Linked DNA regions of Caenorhabditis elegans. The protein of the gene in region 3 purifies or fractionates together with the protein of the main gene of each other region. This does not show direct contact. Each region holds a gene or a part of one and is shown on either strand. Other genes may lie near its edges. The genes, in order: gta-1, tkt-1, C32F10.8 and tald-1.

Region 1 (5,557 bases), on a different chromosome or scaffold from region 3:
CTCGGAGAAATCGCACAGGCAGCAGAAGGTCTTAGTGGAAGTGATTTGAAAGAGGTTCGTGCTTTTTTTCTTTTTAAAATTTTAATCAAATATATTACATCCCCGAAATGGTCGTAATATTATTAGTTCGCTTTGTGGCTATATATGTCACATATATTCTAGTGGAATTCGGTAACGAAATATTTAATATAAATCTGTTCAACATGAAAAATTGTAGACAATAATATATCTTGGATTTCCTATAAAATCCAATACATTTTTAACATGAATTAATAGTGAAACAGCAAATAAGTATATGTGTTTTTATTGAAAACTACGAAAACTCGATTAAACTTTTGCAACAACGAGAGTTTGAAATTACAGTACTCTTTAAAGGTACACACCTTTTCATAGTTAACATAAAATTTCGTGTCGAGAATATTTGGGGCAGAAATCGCAAAGTTTTGCGAGCTTCATGAGAATAAATTGCTGTTTCACAATTAATTCATGTTTCTAATGTGAAAAATGCATTGGATTTTAAAGGAAAAATGTAATTTGTAATATGATAAAATGTAATATAATTGTCTACAGTAACCTTAAAGGAAAAAAAAATACAAATAAAAACATTAGTGAAGAGAATTGTATATATTTAATACAAGTTGTTCTAATAGTGAGCTTGAAAAAACTTACAATTTTGAATTTAATTTTAAAAAAACTCATTTAAATTATTTCAACTTCTTCCAAAATCATCTAAAAATATTTAGAAGTTAGATACACAATAATTAGCTTAAAAAATAATACGCGTTCGAAAATTTTAAGTTTTTATGTTACAGGAAAATGAAACGCCAATAATCGTGTTGTTATGTAATTTTTCAGGTTTGTCGTCTTGCTCTTCTCGCTCGAGCAAAAGCTACTGTAGCTTCTGGAGGTTCCGTAAATCAACTTCTTCCATTGGAACAGTCCGATTTTGAGTCAGCAGTGCATAAATATATGAGAGCCGCACATTTACTTGTTGAAGAAACACTTGATTAGTCTTAAAAGTTCAAGAAACGAATGTTTTATTTCATGTAAACTTCTATTTCTTTTTCTCTAAAAGTAGTCCATTCGTTCTTGTAGGTCTCAATTTATTATACCTTTTTGTAGTATAAAGCTAAAGAAATGTAACGGTGCTTTGACTTAAAATCGAAAATCTTTTTTTTTATTCCCCGGAGCTTCTAGAACAGATTCAAAAACTAATATTTCTGATTCCTGATTTTTTACTTCCCTATTCTTATGTATTGCATTGATTTAATAAGTACGTTTAGATTACCGGTTAGATTGTATTCTCTTTTTCTCTTTTCTTTCACTTGTCGATATCTCCAGAATCTGAAGAAACAATAAATCGATCACGTGACCCCATCTCTTTGTGTCAGTTGTCCTTCCGATTACACCCTTCGTGCTCTGCGAGCCTTTTTCTTTGCACAACGTGGAGCAAGTTTACACCATTCACAGGCTCAATATAAACGTCTTCCATTGGCTTCCAATTTTTCAGTTTACTTCTTCAAACAATTTTCACTAGAAAACGCATTTATTTCCTTCACTAAAAAACATAAGCTCCTCCCCCTGCCTTTCTCTGCGTCTCGTTTGACGCCTAAAAAGAGAAAACGGGAGAAAAAATTATTCGGTTTTCTCCTGCCACTTCAAATTTTACTCTTCTTTCTCTTTGTTTTTTTCAAATCGATTTTCGAATAATTTGAATAGTTTTTTTCAGAAGGAAGAATGCTTCCCAGACTGGCAAAGTCATCTTTAATCCAACAGGGTAAACCAATTAATATATTTTGGATTCAACTGGGATTTATTTAGGAAATAATTTAACATATAATTTTTGATTTTGAAAAACCTAACCTGCAGCTTTTTAGTTCTTCTAGATACATTCATTTTCAACCCTTTTTACTTGCATCTTTGACCTAAAACACATTGAAAAAGAAACAAACAACACTTTTTTGATTCTCTTATCAGTTTATCAGTATCACAAACATTAACGAAGGCAATTGATTTTTCTCGAGTAAAACCGAATAGGGAAAAGATCAGAAAAACTGAACGATAAAATCGAAGTTTTGGTAAATTGGCAGGTATTTTGATATTCACCACATGTTTCAATTTGGAAGATTAAAAAAACAAAATTTTCTGAAATTTTAAAAAAATACTAAAACACTTCAACACCATGAGAATGTTTCCAAAAAATGCTCTGACTCAATTGAAACGTTTATTTTAGTGCGTGGAGTTTCGGCGATTGCAAATGCCGAGCCATCTGGACCTAGTATTTCAACGAGCATTCCTGGACCAAAGTCAAAGGCGTTGAAACAGGAAATGGATAAAGTTCATGTAAGAATTGAGATATCGAAAGTTAAATGGTTTTTTTAAACATCATGGACCTTAAAATACCTTCAAATTGTGATAACTTATTTTTTATATCTATTCTAAATCTTATACGCTCATTATGTATTGGTTTTAGTTTTTGACAATTATTCAGTGGCGAAATCGCTTGAAATTACTTTTCAAACAAAAACTTTGGCTGAACTTTCTGACAACTTGCTCAACAGAAGCTCAACATTGTCAATTTGATTCTAAATTATTAAGAATTATAAGATAGATAAATTATAATTTTAGATTACAAAACATTATTAGCTATTTAATGGTCACACAATTGCGAAGAATTTCGAGCCATTCAGTTCAATTTTCAAATCAAAAACCAACATCTCAACTCCGTAATTACATGAACATCACATTCTTACCCTTATCACAGAACGAATGAAATTCGTCTCAGAAATATTACACTTTCTCTGGTCAACTGACAACTGACATTCAGGAGTTTTGATTATTTGATTTTAGTTTTTTTAATTTCAAATCTTCAATTTCATTGATAATACAAAAAATAAAATAATATTTCAAGGAAATTTAAATTTTATACATATTGTCAAAAATACTGTAGTTATGAAACATATGAATCATTCCAAATGCAATATGAGATTTCAAAATTTTATAAAAATTAAAAAAATTTTTTTTCAGCAAACTACATCCGTTCGTTTCCATGTCGACTACGAGAAATCATTCGGAAATTACGTTGTAGATGCTGATGGTTAGTTTTTATTTTCAGTTTACACACCAGGATTTAATTTAGGAAATGCACTTCTCGATGTCTATACTCAAATATCATCTCTTCCTTTGGGATACAATCATCCAGATTTGGTTAAGGTCGCTTCGCAGCCACATTTGATTGTGAGTTTTTATAAATTGATTTCAAAATCAATTTTTGAACCTCTTACAATCAATTGGAGCATTCGAACTTAGCCTTCCATGTACGCATGAAAATGTTTTACGCCGCATCCGCATTCAGGCACAAATACAGAAATTAGGCGGTAGGCAGTCAGGCAGGCAGGAGGAAGGCACATAATGACCATATTTTCACATTAACCGTACACCTAGAAACCAGTAAAAAATTAAATATTAAGTGATTTGCCTGTCTGTAATATTTGGATAAAACTAAAGAAAACAAGATACTTACTGAAAAGTTGAGAAATGTATTAGAAAATAAATTTTCAGACATCTCTTGTTTCTCGTCCAGCTCTTGGATCCTTCCCACGTACCGACTTTGCTGATGGAATTTCTCATGCTCTTACATCAATTGCTCCAAAAGGATTGAAGGCAGTTCAAACAATGCTTTGCGGTACATCGGCCAACGAGAATGCAATCAAAACTGCATTTATCTGGTATCAAGCTCAGAGAAGAGGAGGTCTTGGACCAGATGCTCTTCATTTGGAAAGCTGCATGAATCAACAGAAACCAGGAACTCCAAATCTTTCAGTTATGGGATTTGAAGGAGCTTTCCATGGAAGATCTTTGTGCATGTTGTCGGTTACCAGAAGTAAGCCAATTCATAAGGTATTTCAAAGTTTTATTTCGAAACAATTCTAATTAATTATTTTCAGGTTGATATTCCAGCATTTGACTGGCCAATTGCCAAGTTCCCCCGTTATAAGTATCCACTTGACCAGAATGTTGCATACAATAAGAAGCAAGATCAGGAGTGTCTTGCTGACGTTGAAGCGAAGATTTCCGAATGGAAACGTCGTGATAATGATGTAGCTGCAATTATTGTTGAACCAATTCAAGCAGAAGGTGGAGATCATTATGGAAGTCCAGCATTCTTCCAAGGCCTCCGTGATATTACTTCTAAACATGGAATTGTATTCATTGTTGATGAAGTTCAAACTGGAGGTGGAGCAACTGGAGATATCTGGGCTCATGATCACTGGAACTTGAGCTCTCCACCAGATATGGTCACATTCTCAAAGAAACTTTTGACAGGAGGATACTTCTACGGAGAACATCTCCGAGTTAAGGAGGCTTACCGTATTTACAACACATGGATGGGAGATCCGACCAAGCTTCTTCTTTTGGAAAAGGCTGTTGAGGTTATTAAGAGAGATGGATTGATTGAGCAGAGCAGAGAAGTTGGAGCTGAATTCCAAAAGAGACTTGGAGAACTTCAAGCATCGTCTGGAGGAAAGTTGGATCAAGCCAGAGGAAGAGGAACTTTTGCCGCCGTTGACTTCCCATCTGGATCTTTGAGAGACAAATTTGTTGACTTGGTAAGCAGAATTAATAGTGATAAATGTCAAATTCAGCCATCTTACATTTATATATTAAATTTCTTAAACTTCAATTTAATTTTAGGCCATCAGCAACGGACTTCACTGTGGAGGATGTGGAGACCGTTCACTTCGTTTCCGTCCATCACTCGTCTACACCAAAAAACATTTGGATCTGACTTTCGATCTTCTCGACAAGACTTTGAAGGGATTGTAATCATTTTTTCTTTTGTTTTCTCTTTAAAGCTGTATCCATTTTATTTGCTTCGCTGACCATCTAGCTTGTTATTATTTCAAAATATAATTAATAAATTAAATATTCATTTATAATGACACCGGAAATTGATTTTTTATTGTTTCTTCTCGGGAAGTTATACTTCGGATCGATTCCAATTGAATTTATAAATTTTTAGACACGTGTTCCTCCGACTAGCTGTGACATCTTTTCATAGATTATCTCGATTTCTTGCTGAAAACAAAATAATTTGGTATTGGAAAATGAGATAATTCGATTTTCACCTTCGAGGCAAAAATACCACACTGAATTTCGGTATACGATGAAAGAACCTGTACCACGTCAACACAACCCGTTGTCTCCAGTTGACACGCTAAAGTTGTGGCTGCACAAATACTGAATGCAAGTGCTGTATCATCTGAATATTCATCAATTTTGTTATAAATATAATATAATTAAAGTTTAAAGTATTTACAGATCATAGTATGTACGTTTCTACGCACACTACCATTTTTAAACTAGAACCAAAGGGGTTTTTATAAACTCCAAATTTGTGTTACAAAATTTTTTTGAACCAAAAATATTGATAGATATCAAGCTATACTCACCATTAAACAAAATAGAAAGTGATAATGTAGAAGTACTATCTGTTGGTGATGGAACACTTGGTGGGTATTTATGAGCCAGAATAAGCAATGGAGCATCATGATAA
Region 2 (4,332 bases), on a different chromosome or scaffold from region 3:
GGAGAATAATCCCGAGTGATTTCTTGTCCCGATGAAAGCCATGGTACACAGAATCCAAATAATAGTAGAACTCTCATAACTGGAAAAATAAATAAAAACTCATTTCATGTTTGCATACTGCTAGTAACGTTATATAAATATAAAAATTGAAAACTTTGGTCTTTATTTGAAAGAACCGTCTAAAAAAGAGAAATCCTCATATCAGAAATATTGATCAGTTCCTAAAAAGAGAAATCATGAAATTGAAAGGAAAATGAAAAAGTGAGGAGCGGAAAGAGGAAAAAGACTAAGAAGCCGTGAGTGTTCATCTTCTGTATCGCTTATTCTCAGAAACGACAAGAAGATGTAGATGAGAAGTGTATCAATTCGGGTACCGAACAGGTTTCGATCCCCGTCATCGCCTCGCCACAAAACATCCAATGCCCGCGAAACGGCCTTCTTATTGTCTAGACGCGTGCGAGAAGCTTATACAAACTGCGATGCACCTTTTTTTAAATTGTTTCATTTTGCTGTAAATTCACAACCATTTCAAGTAAACATAAAGGAAAGCTATATAATACTATAATACGAGGCATTAAAAATACATTATTGGAAGTTCTTGACGGCGGCAACGATGTGACGAGCAGAGATTCCGTACATGTCCACGAGAGCATCTGGTGGTCCGGAGCGTGGAACTTCCTTGACATTCAATGATCTGACACGAATCGTTGGATAATCAGCGAGAGCAGCGGAAACAGCTTCTCCTATTCCTCCAGCTGCGTAGTGGTCTTCGGTAGTAACAACTCGTCCTCCAACTTTCAGAGCGTGCTCGGCGATGGTCTTTCCATCCAGTGGCTTGATGGTGAATGGATCGATAACAGTGGCGTGAATTCCTGAAAACATAATTTTTAGTTTCAAATACAGTTTCTTTTTGAAAATAAAACTTTAAAAAGTAAAACGTAACAAAAAAAACAAACCTTCTTTCTCCAACTCCTCAGCGGCCTTCAATGACTCGTACAAAGTGACTCCCGATCCGACAAGAACAATTTTATCTTGGGCTGACTGCTTCACAACCTTGGCTTGTCCAATGTGGAATGGCTCTTCATTGTCGTAGAGAACTGGAAGTGCGGGGCGGCCGGTACGAATGAAAACAACTCCTTTTGTGTTGGCAGCCAACTCTGTTGCTCTTTCAGCAGACACGGCGTCGGTTGGGTAGAAAACAGTTGCTCCTGGGATAGTACGGAAAATTGCAAGATCTTCGAGAGCCATTTGACTTGGTCCATCTTCTCCAATTGAGACTCCGACGTGAGATCCAACGCATTTGAGATTAGCAAATGAAACAGCGGCCATACGGATCTGATCAGTGGCTCGGGTGAAGAATGCAGCGAATGTGCTGGTGAATGGAATTGTGCGGTCACGGCATTGCGCTCCCACAGCTACACCGACAAGATTCTGTTCGGCAATGAAGCACTCAATGAATTGATCTGGGTGCTTCTTAAGAAGTTTGTCAGAGAAAGTAGAGTTCTTGGTATCTCCATCAAGACCAATGACACGTGGACTAGCATCTCCAAGCTTAGCAAGTGCAGTTCCGTAAGCGGCTCTTGTGGCGACCTTGTCTCCCTTCTTGTATTCTGGGGCAGCCATTTTGATGGATCCAACATGGAGATCAATAGCAGGGGCGTCATTGATTGGCTTTTGAGCAACGAGCTTTCCCTTTTGGCTTCCGTGGAATCTAGCCTTGATGGCATTGACCTGAAATTTTTAATATGAGACTATTTCATTCTCACGTCAAACTTACTGTTCCCTCTGGGACTGGCTTTCCATGCCAATTGTCCTCGTTTTCAATTCCTTCGATTCCTTTTCCCTTCAAAGTCTTGGCGATGATGGCGGTTGGCTTTCCCTTGGTGGAACGAGCAGTCTCATATGCGGCCAAGAGCTCATCAACATTGTGTCCGTTGACAATAATGGCATTGAATCCGAAAGCGGCAAAGCGAGCTTTGTAGGTCTCTACGTCATGTCCAAGAGAAGTGGCTTGACTTTGTCCCAGTCTGTTGACATCGACAATAGCAACGAGATTGTCGAGCTTGTAGATTGAAGCAAAAGCAGCAGCTTCCCAGACAGATCCTTCAGCAGATTCACCATCTCCGAGAAGGCAGAAGACGCGGTAGCTGGCTTTGTCAATGTACTTTCCGACGTAAGCCATGCCAGTGGCAACTCCAAGTCCTTGTCCGAGAGATCCTGTAGCAACATCGATGAAGTTCAAGCGAGGAGTGGGGTGTCCTTCGATGTCCGAGTCGATTTTGCGGAGAGAGAGCACTTGCTCATGGCTCAGAAGACCGGCCTCTTCCCACGCAGCGTAGAGAATTGGGCAAGCGTGTCCCTTGGAGAGAACAAAACGATCGGCAGATGCTGATTTTGGCTCTGCGACATCGTACTTCATCTCCGAGAAGAACAGAGTTGACATAATCTCGGCTGAAAATGTTGAAATTTATCGGATTCGAGTAAATGTTGAATAATTCTTACCAGCAGACGTAGAAGACGTGGGATGTCCACTTTTGCTTGCGCAAGTCATCTCGATCGAGGAAATACGCATGCGGTTGGCAGCGTCTTCCAAATCATTGCGAAGTTGCTCCGAAACGGTCATTCTCCTGCAAAAATAATGGATTTTTGGGAGAATGTTAAAATTTTCAGAATAAGAACGGCAAAGAACATTCTCGAAGAAAATAGTGAATCGTCGGCCGTTTCACACAGGGAGAGACATACACCTTATCGTTATCAACTAGTATCATTATCATCTCAACGCACCACCATTTTCTTATCTATTATTTACTAATGGTACCACTGCATAAAACAGGAGACTGGCCGAGAAAACAACTCAAAATTCAGGCAAAAATTGCAAAGTGTTGGCAAAAAATGTCATTCTAAAGAACACCGGGCAGCGCAACGTTAACGTTTTCATCTTCGTTTCTGTACTTTGAATAAATAAAGAACTGAAAAGACAGGCCTAAAAATGTTTTTCTTGGACATATAAAATCGTGGAAAAAGACACCGCTTTCTTCTGCGTTGAAAGTATGAAAAGACAATGTCCAAAAAACCCAACACGCGTTTCATCACAACGGAAACACTAACTTTCTAGTGAGACGCAGATGTTCTGAAGGAAATTTTCATTAAAATGGAGATCCAATGACTACAAAATATACCAGTATATGAAAACAGTGACAATTCTCGATCGTTGCGCACAAAAAAGAATGTTTACCGACTAAAACAGCGGCGCTCTCGAGCGCTCTCTGATTTCTCACAAAAAAAATGATGAAAACTTTCGCGGCCATTGTGTTTTCTAGGCCCCGCGTTTGAAACTTTTTGGCGCCAAGGTGGAATCTCGAGAAAGTATCGATATCGGTATTTAAAATATGAGCTAACTTATTGTGCGTGGGGAAAGAAAATATGCTCTTAATAGGGAATTTATTGAGAAAAAAAGTTACGAAAATCTGTTAAAGAAATGCGGAAAATAAAGAAAATAAAAATTGGGGTTAAGTAAGTAAAAGAACCCGAATGAGCGTTCTCGCCTCCGGCGAGATATGCAGAGAAAGGAAATCAGAAACCACGCGCTGTCGCAAATTGGGTCAAGATCAATTCTTCCATATTTGATCTACCGAAGTTTGTAGGTCTAGAAGTGGTCTAGAAATTCTGATAATGTGTAGAAACGAATAATCGGGATTTCTGGAAAGAAAAATGCTAGTATTTTTAATTAAATTGTTATAATAAAAAGAGATGCAAAAATCGAACTTATTATATTTTGTCCTAAAAATTTTAAATCCCAAAAAAGTTACAGCATAGAGTGCAATTTTATGATTCACTATTTTCAGTCATTAATTTAAACAAGTACCACATAAAACTTAGCATAAAATAATTGTTCATTGTTAACTTGAGTACTCAAATATCACGTGGTGTCAGAATGTCCCATTTCGTTGTGATCTACAAAAAATGCGGGAGTTTAGACGTAGAGTTCTCAACTGATTTTGAATGGTTAAGAACGTGCTGACGTCACATTTTTTTGGGGAAAAAATTCCCGCATTTCTTGGAGATCAAACCGTTACAACCTGACACCACGTGAAATATAAGTATGAGGGAGTGTGCCAAGCAAGGGTTACTGTAGCTATCGTCATAAATATTAAAACCTAAATGCCATTTTAAAAAACCTAAAATGTGAATAGTTTTACATGTACATTTACAATATCTAGATTGAAGATGAATTTTAAAATAGAAAACGCGAAATTTGTTCATTTGGTGTTTTAATCTATTAAAAATACTTCACTTGTAATTGAAAAGTACCTAATCCTTGACCCCAACATA
Region 3 (5,297 bases):
TCCAACTAAGAATTGGAAATAGTGTATGAAAATTTCAAAAATAAATTGAAAATACCAAACAATTCCGAATTTTCCGAACCATGTAGTTTTCCAAGAAACCCATTTGGAGGTAATTTTTGGTTTTATAAGATTTTAGATAGACAGTGAAGAATACTGCGATATTTCAAAACTGCGTAATCTACTCCAGTTATCTCGAGAGCCCATTTGTTTTCCTCCAATAAACTATCATTCTGTGTTACGTCAGTCGGCAACATTGTGTGTGTGCAGGCAGATTGACCTGATTATGTAACGTTTGTGCAACAGAATATTTGGTCATAAACTGTCACAGATTGGGCCTCCGTTTAGGTGAATTAGAATCTGCTCAATTGGATCGAGTGGAATGCACATTGTGTTGAACGGCGGTTCTGGACAAAGACCTTGTATTTTGGGAATCCATCAATAAGAGTGTGCCAGAAACTGTCTGAGGTCCTATTGTTTGTCAGGTGAAAGTGGCAGTATAGTCTTCTACAAAAAAAAGAATGTTAAAATTCATCAATGCAATAATTAAAATTAATCGAATCTACACAGTAAACGCATTTAGACCCTATCATATTGGCTATGAAACAAAAAGTGACATAGAAGAAAAAAAGCTGAGAAAATTGAGAAAAGAAGAATATTAGACATTGTTCAAAGTCTACTTGTATTCGGCAAGGAATTTTTGGTGGAAATCAGTGAACCGGGAGAGCATGTCTTTGAAGAGTTCTGGCTGTGGAAGAATTGTCGTTCTGAAAAAATTGAATTTACCAACAATGAATCTAGATTTATTGTATTAAATGTGAATTAGAGTATCACAAACCTGAAATGATAAGTTCCGTCTTTTTGTCCAAATCCACTTCCTGGCACGATACAGATTCCGGTGGTCTCAAGAAGTTGCATAGCATAGAAGAAATCAGGTTGTTGGTTCAAAGACTGAGCTTTTTCAACAGCTCTCTGTGGAATCGTGATTTGCGGGAAAGCGTACATGGCTCCTTGAACTGGATTACAGCTGATTCCATCAATGCTACTGTATGCCTTCTCGACGAGTGTAGCACGTTCCTTAAGAGAAGCAAGTACTGCATCCTTTTCTTGTTTCCACAGAGCATACGATGCATCTCCTTCCTTTGGTGGATTCACAACGGCATCAATGACGGCTTGTCCGAGTACTGTGGAGCACAATTTGGCAGAGATCATTTTTTTGAAAAGGACATACACTTCTGGGTCGAGATTCAAGAATTCAACATATCCTCCACGCATTCCGCATTCTCCCATGTATCCTTTGGATACCGAATGGAAAGAAGCCAATTCCATTCTGCAAATTAATATTATGAGTTTTTTAACTGCTTAGGAAAAAAAGCTCACTTATTGTATGGCTCTCCCATCTCCACAAGAACCTTCTTGAATGAATGGAATTGCGATCCTTGAGCGTAGACGTTGTCCTGAAGATGATATTTTAAATCTCATTATTTTAATAGAAAAGTGTGATTTTCCTCATTAAAAAATATGGTTTATGATTTAAAATAATTTTAATTGAAAATAGTGGAAAATTATCGAGTGTAAATTTTTATCGAAAACTTACTTGATAAACCTCATCAGCCATAAGGAACAGGTTCTTCTTTTGTGCAAACTTGATGATAGTCTCAATATTTTCACGAGAAAGTGCTTGTCCGGTAGGATTTCCTGGATTGATGATACACAAAACTCGAATATCGTATTCTTTGCAGTGATCATTGAAAGATCTTTCAAGTTCAGCTTCATCCATGGACCAATTAGACGATTCACTCAAATAGTATCCAACTTGTCCAAGTCCGAATTCTTCGATAGTGGCAGAATAGAGTGGATATTGTGGAATTGGAATCATGACTCCGACTTTCTTTGCGTTGTTATGATTGATAAAAAGTTTGAGAACATTTCGGATTGATTCAGAAGCTCCTCCAGACAAGCAGACATCTTCTGAATTGCATGGAATTCCTCCATCACGTCTCTTAATATACTCTGCCACGTGTTTTCGTACAATTTCCACTCCCGTACTCTGACTGTATGCTCCAGCGGATTTTCCTCCACAACTTCCAAGGAATGCATTTGCATGTTCGATAACATCAGATGGAATTGATTTGTCCGTTTTCATGATCTCTGGGTTGACAATACACGCGAGGAGCTGGCGAATGAAAGTAATCGGCTTTTGACCCATAGCATGAGCATCTCCAATATTAGCCTTGATGACATTTGGGAATGGCTTCTGAGCACCGGTCGCAAGCTCTTTTTCAAGCTCCACGGCACGGATCACGATTGGTCCACGAACAGCATACTCCATCTTGATAACATTTGGATTGATGTTGGAGGTGTTCAAAGTCTGAAATTGAATTTTTAAAAATACTTTGTTCAAAAAATACACAACTATTTCGAAAACGATTAAAATTGCCAATATTGTAACAACTTTTAACATTTCTGAAATTTTGCTATTCAGTGTCCATCTGATTCCTGACACATTTTGCAAATTAATAAATGCTCACCTTTCCGCTAGCCATGATTCTAGTGGATGTGCCGAAAAAGCGACTTGTGACGAGTCCGGAAATTGCTTGTACGGTTCGCATGCTGTAAAATTAAAAGATCGAGATATAACAAGTGAATTGAAAAGATATCATTTCAATTGCAACTAATTTAAAAGAAATGTATATGAGGATAGAAGGATAGACAGTGATAACTGGGTGTGATTGATAACGTCCACGAGTGAGAGAGACAGTAAGTACTCAGAATGTTCTACCGTTTGCACGAACCTAACTTTAGGCCGCGTGTGTTTGTTGGTTGAGGACGAGCTGAGTGCGCGCAAAAAGCAATAAGTTGATAGTTTGAACTTAATGAGCAAACAATGCAGAAAATACAGTTTCAGAAAACAGTAAATATAGGTGAACATTTAAAAAAAAGCCGTATTGTAATATATTATAATAACATTTTCCCTTTTCTCCGTTTTTTTCAAACTCTATCCCGCAGCACAAAATTTTAAACTTAAAAAAATGTGACACCGGATTTACGTACAAAAATTACATTTAGTTTCCAATAAATAAGTAGAAATCTTGATATCAAAGAGATTAACTGGTAGAAAAAAAGCTTTTCATAGTCGGAAGGCGGGGAAAAGGGGCAAACAAATGCCAAGTGCATCTAATTCTTTTCTGTTTTTCTCTCGGTTCTATCTGTTTTCTATCTCATTTTTTCATTGTTCTTGTCTTGATTTTCCGTCTCACACGTGTTCCAGCGTTTAGCAAAATAGGCGTTATTAAGAATTGTTAAACAACGAAAAATCCGAAAATTGGTAATAATTTTCGGTAGAGCAAATTTAAAACAGAAGTTTGAAAGAATCAAAATTCGAGATAATCACAAATATAACAATTTAACGAAATTAAGTTTTCTAATTCCTTCATCTTATCCACTTTCTACAGAGAGCCTAACCAACTTATGTAGAAGTTTTTTCGCAGACGTTTTTTTTTTGGAAAATCCCGACTTTAAATAGGAAAATCTAAACATCTATTTTATGTTGTCCAAACAGTCCAAAATACTTTCTCAGCATCCAATACTTCACGAGTTCAATTTTCTAGAACTTACCAATAAAAAAGCGAAGTGTTGAGAGTGGAAGAGAGAACAGGCGATCGATGAAGTTTTTCGCACAAGCTGCTGAAACAAATTATTGTCTCTTATCGACAATTTCACACATTGATTGGGCAAAAAAAGAAGATTAAAAATAGAAAAATGTGCTGGAAACAAAGATCACAAAAAACACAAAACTTTTTTTGTGAAAGAGAATAATTTAGAGAACAATTAGTAGAGCTTGAAAATATTTTAAAAATGGCTAAAATGTTTAGAAAAATAATCAATAGATGCGAGTTAAATATGTTTGTAAAAAGAAGTACAAATTAAGTTATTCAGAAATTTGGAAAAACCTCAATATTTAGCTTTTTTATAAACAAAAAAGGATAAACATTATTTTTTGGCAATATAAAAAGAAACCAAGAATCATGGCCGCTTTGAAGTTTCAATCAATTTAAAAAACGAAAAAAGGCAGGTCTTGTTCTTCAGATGAGGCACCTTGTTTATTCTTTACGATGTAATGCTGAAGAACGAGAAAGAAAGGGGCCCCGAGATGGAGGAAGGGACTGAAAAACAACAAGAGAGACTGAAGAGAGGGAGAGAAATATTGGGAGGAACGAAATAAACCGACAGAGGACTACGTGCCAATGGCTCGATTTTTGAAACTGGTTTTTTTGGTTTTCGAGAGAAAAATGATGATGGAGGTCTATTGTGATCTAGGAAAATAAGGATTGACAGTTCAAAGTCACGTGGCATTGAAGAAACGGTCCATTGAACACAATTCCGTTGGAGATTAAAAGTCAAATTTCGATCAAATTAGATAACGATTGTAGAAATTCGAAAAAAATTCGTTGAAGAAATGATGTCGAACTTTTAGAAATAAAACAAATAATTAAAAACCATCTTCAGCGTCAACAAAAAATATACAGGAAAACGAGAAAAGCTTCGTTGGTGTGGTAGATTACAAGACAAAGATTTTCTTGAAACGTTTCCTAACATTTAGTATTAGCCTTGAGTAATATTACGGAGGAACATCAGAAAAATAAACCCCCACTGATCATAAATTAAAGACCAATTCTCATATCACAAAGTTCTTTCCACCCAATTTTCTGCCCAGAAAAGGGAAACCGAGTCACGAGTGCACATTTATTTATATTTTGTTTTCGCAACGCCTCTGTGTCACTTTTTTGCTCTTCAATATAAAATCATCTTTTCTACAGATGATATTTTCTAGATGTTTCCTAACCGACTTTTCAGTTTATATTCAATAAAAATGAATTCCAAAAAAGGTGCGTGCTCATAAATTCAGACAGCTTGAGCAGCGAGCGCTTTTCTTTTTCGATCAAACAACATATTCCATCAAATTTCCCGAAACAACTCCGCCGTTTCTCTCTTTTAAAATTGTCTCCATCGTGCTCTCATTTTTCAGTCTTTTGCCGTTATTTAGCAGCATAAAACCTTTCAATTATATTAAAGTTTACCATGAGAAGAGAAGAACAAGAAAAAGAACAGAGATTTTCAGATTAATCCCAAGGGGATCGGCATTTGAAGCTTTATCCCGCCATTTCCCGTTATTTTTCCTAATCTACGTCGTATGTGACACGATGTTTTACTGCTTTTTCATTGAATATAATTTTTCATTGAATATAATTAATTATTTAAAATCCATTTTATAACAATTTTACCAAAGATGAAAAGAA
Region 4 (4,552 bases), on a different chromosome or scaffold from region 3:
CGATGTCAACCCGTAAGTTTCAGATTCTATAGTTTCTTGAGCAAATAATTATTTCTTTGTATTCAGAGAGGACAAATCTGCCTTGAACAAGCTCGTCGAGACCGTCAACAACAACTTCAGCGAGCGTCACGAGGAGATCCGCAAGCACTGGGGAGGAGGTGTCATGTCCGCCAAGTCTGATGCCAAGAAGCTCAAGATCGAGCGCGCTCGTGCCCGTGATCTTGGAAAGCTCTAAATTGTTTTTGTTGATAATAAAAACTTGTTATTCAAAGCTTGTATCTTTTTCAATAATTGGTAGTCTTCGTGGTACTCATTTGGATCGGTCTTGTTGGATATTGTTGAGAACAGTTTTCCCGAGAAGTGTCTCCCTAGTTCGTCGTTGTCTTGGAGCTTGCTGGTTGTCTGCGATATGGTTTCACTGAACAATTCTAGTTGGGTTCAATTCCGGGTGTCACAGCCACAACTGTCCAGAAACTTGCAGAGTGCGATAAGAGTTCGGCTATTTTGTGTATCTTGCCTTTACAGTGCTCTTTAAATTACATAAGGGTTCATTAAAATACGTAACGAAATATTTAAGGGGAAATCACAACACTGATGAAATTGGGGAAAACTAGTAAGCACGACAAATACATCAATCAATACAATTTAGATCTTTGCCTCGATAAGCTTCTCCAGAGTTCTGGCGTCTTTGGCAAAGTTGCGGATTCCTTCGGCGAGCTTCTCGGTGGCCATGGCGTCCTCGTTGAGAGCCCATCTGAACGCCTTCTCGTCAATGCTCACTTTCGGCAGGTCGAGTGTCTTGGCTGGAAAATAATTAAAAATTGCAATTTTTAATTGATTAAATCTCCCGCTCACCATGAGAAGTGGAGAGCACAACTGGAGCAAGTTCCGTCTCCGCAGCAAGTTGCTTCAGAAGAGCCGGAGAAATAGTAAGAAGATCACATCCAACAAGTCCCTTGATCTCTTCAGTATTACGGAACGAGGCAGCCATCACTTGTGTCTTATAGTCGTATTTCTTGTAATAATTAAAGATTCGAGTAACACTGACAACTCCTGGATCGTCTTTTCGAGTGTAGGCCTTCTGATCGGTATTCTTCACGAACCAATCCATGATTCTTCCGACGAATGGCGAGATTAGGGTGACTCCTGACTCGGCACACGCGACTGCTTGCTCAAAGTTGAAGAGCAGTGTCATGTTGCAGTGGATTCCGTGCTTAGATTCGAGGAATCTGAAAATTTAATTTTTTGCTGATTTTGAACTATTTCCGTTATAATTAATGCCTTAAACTCTTTTGAAAAATGTCAATTTGGGTCCAATTGAGTAGATTTTCAGTAGAAAACTAATAGAAACGAGACTTTGTATGTTTCGAAAAGGTATGTCCGTAGATTTTAGGTGATTTACAAGAAAAATCGAAGCATTTCTAGTTTTTAATTTAAAATGTGTTAATTTTTAACAATTTCATCTTGTATAATTCGTTTTTTAATTGATTTTTTCGAAACTAGTAGTGTTTTAAACCAAGCAAATCATCAAAAATGGGTAAAATTTCATCAAGTTTGATTTTTAAAAAAAAGTTTTTTAACTGAAAAGTTTTCCTAAAATCTCCAATGCCGTACTTAGCAGCCCGAATTCCTTCCCAAGTTGAAGCAAGTTTGATAAGAATCCGATCCTTCGAGATTCCTTCCTTCTCGTATTGAGCAATAAGTCCAAGAGCCCGATCAATCGATGCTTGAGTATCAAATGAAAGACGAGCATCAACTTCTGTGGAAACTCTTCCTGGAATAGTTTTCAGGATTTCTTTTCCAAAAACTACAAAAAGTCGATCCATAGCCGCTTGGAGCACTTCTTGATGTCCACTGGCGTGCTCTTTTGCGTAGGCAACTGATTGATCGATTAATGCTGCGTATTGCTCCATTTTTGAGGCGGCCAGGATGAGCGATGGGTTGGTAGTTGCATCTGTTGGCTGGAATTCCTTGATCGCTGAAAAAAATCGATTTTTTGAGAACAATTTTTGAAAAAAGTACTTTTTTCAACTGGAAAATTCGAGTTTTATTTTTCGATTTTTGACTTTTTACACAAAATCGAGGAAAAAAACAAAGGTGTGCGCCTTTAAGACTTACAGTAACCCATTTCCTGATTTTTTAAATTAATTTTTCACGCTTTTCATCTAAATTCTTGAGAGAAAACGTTGAAAAATGAAAAAAAAAACGAAATTGAAGGAACGTCTGGGTACTGTACTTTTGAAAGGCGCAAACACATTTTTTTCAAAATAAATATTTTTCACCAGTATTTACAAAAATTTAGAAAAAAGAGAATTCATCGAATTATCCAAAAAAAGTTTTTCACAGCTTTTTTTGGAATTTTTGAAAAATTCTAATTTTTAAATGGCACATTCCAGAAATTTACAATACTTCCATAAAATTTAATAGTATTTATTTTTAAAATGTTTTAACGAATTTTTTGGAAACTTCTTGAAAATATGTATTTTTTTCTCTAAAAAAATTAATTTAAAAAGTTCAAAAAGTCAGATTTCTATCTGAAAATCGAGAAATTTACTGTTTTTTACATTATAACAGTGGTCTTCCTAGAAAAATCGAATTTTCAGATAATTTAATTTTTTTTCAAAACTGCCAAAAAAAATCAATTATTCACCACATTTTCGAACTTTTTCTTAATGTTCAAAATTTTTACCATTAAAATCTCCAGTATCCGCAACAACGACTGATGCTCCTTTGAGTTGTTCCAAAACCGACATGATTTCCCTAGAAAAAGTCAAAAAAAAATCAATAATCGTGAAAATTACGGGAAAAATCGCGTGAGAGAGATCGAATGGAAAGTGCAGCCCATTGATAGCATCAAAGATAACAAAAACCGTATCAAAAAAATTTCAAATTTTTAATAGATATAATGATAATGATAATTCGACTAACCAATGTGAAAACAATGAACAATGAACAAAAAATAACAAAAAAGGGGGAAAATTTCAAAAAAAAAGTAACAACTCATAAAAAAATGACGATAAAAGGAGTAGGGAAGTGAGAAAAACAGTTTTCGAAAAAAAGTAACAAAAATGATGATAAAAAGGTATAAAGTAAAGTAGTAACAAAAAAACAAGAATATGACTAAATGTGTGTAGTTTGCAGTCTGTAGTTTGTAGCCTCTCAACTATGATGTGTCGTCGTCATTTCGAACCATTGACGAATCGATTCGGCAATCACCGATGGTAGTTGTTGAACTGATTTGACGAGAGCGTAGAATGGGAACGGGAACAGGGCGAGGTATGGCGTGAGTACCTGCAGGAAAAATTGGAAATTGTCAGCAGTTTTATGGGGGCAAATGGCAAGAGAATCGGGGGGTTTTCGAGAAAAAAAAGAAAGTAAATATTGTTCTTTGTAGTCAAATATGATCAAATTTCACACATTTTTTTGGGAATTTTAACACGAAAAAAAGGAAAAATCTTCAAAAATTGGAAAATTTATTGAGTTTTGAAATTTATTTGCGAAATTCCTTTCGAATATTTTGACCTAGTTTCAATTTTTTGTTTCATTTTTTAAATATTATTTTAAACACAATTTCTCACATTTTCAGACAGTTTTCCGCAAAAAATTATTTAAAAATGTGAAATTATCGATTTTTAGGTCAAAATTGAAGCGAAAATCGTCAAAATGCCAAAAAAGTCTACTGAAATTTAAATTTCAGACCTAAAAATATACAAATAATCGGCCATAGAAGACTGAAATAACGAAAAAAAAACTTTTGTAATTTTAAAAGCAAATTTTTGCTGAAAATCCTATAATTACCGTAACCTCGGCGTTTGTTCAATATCGAGAATGGAAAATTACCAGTTTTTAAAAAATTAAAATTAAAAAAAACGTTTTTTGTAGTCAAATATGATCAAATTTCACACATTTTTTGGGTATTTTAAATGAGCGGCAATTCTAGAAAATGGTCTGTTGCACCATGTTGTTCCAACATTTTTACAACTTGAAATTAGTTTAAAAATATGAAAAATCACTCGATTTATTTGAAAATAACATTAATTTCAGCTGAAGCCTTCGAGAAAATGCCCAGAAATGGCTTGAAAGTTGACTAATTTCGGCAATTGTCAACTTTCTGGCCTTTTTTGAGCAATTTCTCAAATTTTCAGTCGAATAAATGTCATTTTCAGATAAATCAACTAATTTTCTATACTTTGACACTAATTTTGGAGGAAAATGTTGAAAATGCATGGTGCTACGTCACCTCGAAAACAATTTTTTTTTCAGAGTGTAACTTCAAATAAAATGGAAAATGTATATTTTTTTAATTGGATTTTTCTTTAAAAAATACCCATAATAATCTAAAACTGGGATATTTTTGAAAAAAAACATATTTCCAGTCAAAAATAGCAGATTTCAACTGAAATCGTCTGATTTTGAAATTTTAAACATGCCAATTACAAGTTTTGGGTGAAAATGTTGATTTTTTAAACCAAAATTGGCAAATTTTCACTAAATTGCCCCGATTTCTAGCTAAAAAAATCCTGGAATGTTGAAAATGTGATTTTTTGAATGA

What was found.
Region 1: the proteins of C32F10.8 (region 3) and gta-1 fractionate together in Caenorhabditis elegans (co-fractionation; one large-scale study listed by BioGRID). This does not show direct contact.
Region 2: the proteins of C32F10.8 (region 3) and tkt-1 fractionate together in Caenorhabditis elegans (co-fractionation; one large-scale study listed by BioGRID). This does not show direct contact.
Region 4: the proteins of C32F10.8 (region 3) and tald-1 fractionate together in Caenorhabditis elegans (co-fractionation; one large-scale study listed by BioGRID). This does not show direct contact.

Annotation. Positions count from the first base shown.
Region 1 is NC_003282.8:10,178,931-10,184,487, forward strand, and holds gta-1 (putative 4-aminobutyrate aminotransferase, mitochondrial), read left to right. Parts: upstream 1-1,729; 5' UTR 1,730-1,737; coding exon 1,738-1,777; intron 1,778-2,233; coding exon 2,234-2,343; intron 2,344-3,027; coding exon 3,028-3,097; intron 3,098-3,139; coding exon 3,140-3,237; intron 3,238-3,561; coding exon 3,562-3,900; intron 3,901-3,947; coding exon 3,948-4,610; intron 4,611-4,695; coding exon 4,696-4,827; 3' UTR 4,828-5,009; downstream 5,010-5,557. Other genes in the region: mspn-1 (Mitochondrial sorting homolog), read left to right, coding at 1-54, 856-1,011; ptrg-1 (Tyrosine-protein phosphatase 4), read right to left, coding at 5,020-5,079, 5,130-5,263, 5,454-5,557.
Region 2 is NC_003282.8:10,241,907-10,246,238, reverse strand, and holds tkt-1 (transketolase), read right to left. Parts: upstream 2,628-4,332; 5' UTR 2,624-2,627; coding exon 2,503-2,623; intron 2,452-2,502; coding exon 1,778-2,451; intron 1,732-1,777; coding exon 957-1,731; intron 873-956; coding exon 586-872; 3' UTR 532-585; downstream 1-531. Other genes in the region: F01G10.10 (BPI2 domain-containing protein), read right to left, coding at 1-77.
Region 3 is NC_003279.8:5,822,465-5,827,761, forward strand, and holds C32F10.8 (alanine transaminase), read right to left. Parts: upstream 3,685-5,297; 5' UTR 3,616-3,684; intron 3,425-3,615; exon of another isoform or gene 3,256-3,424; intron 2,611-3,255; 5' UTR 2,610-2,610; coding exon 2,529-2,609; intron 2,369-2,528; coding exon 1,595-2,368; intron 1,455-1,594; coding exon 1,378-1,454; intron 1,328-1,377; coding exon 836-1,327; intron 765-835; coding exon 674-764; 3' UTR 518-673; downstream 1-517.
Region 4 is NC_003282.8:4,384,859-4,389,410, reverse strand, and holds tald-1 (Transaldolase), read right to left. Parts: upstream 2,761-4,552; 5' UTR 2,754-2,760; coding exon 2,690-2,753; intron 1,979-2,689; coding exon 1,615-1,978; intron 1,230-1,614; coding exon 856-1,229; intron 804-855; coding exon 646-803; 3' UTR 531-645; downstream 1-530. Other genes in the region: rpl-7A (Large ribosomal subunit protein eL8), read left to right, coding at 1-12, 67-235; F55F10.1 (Midasin), read right to left, coding at 3,160-3,291.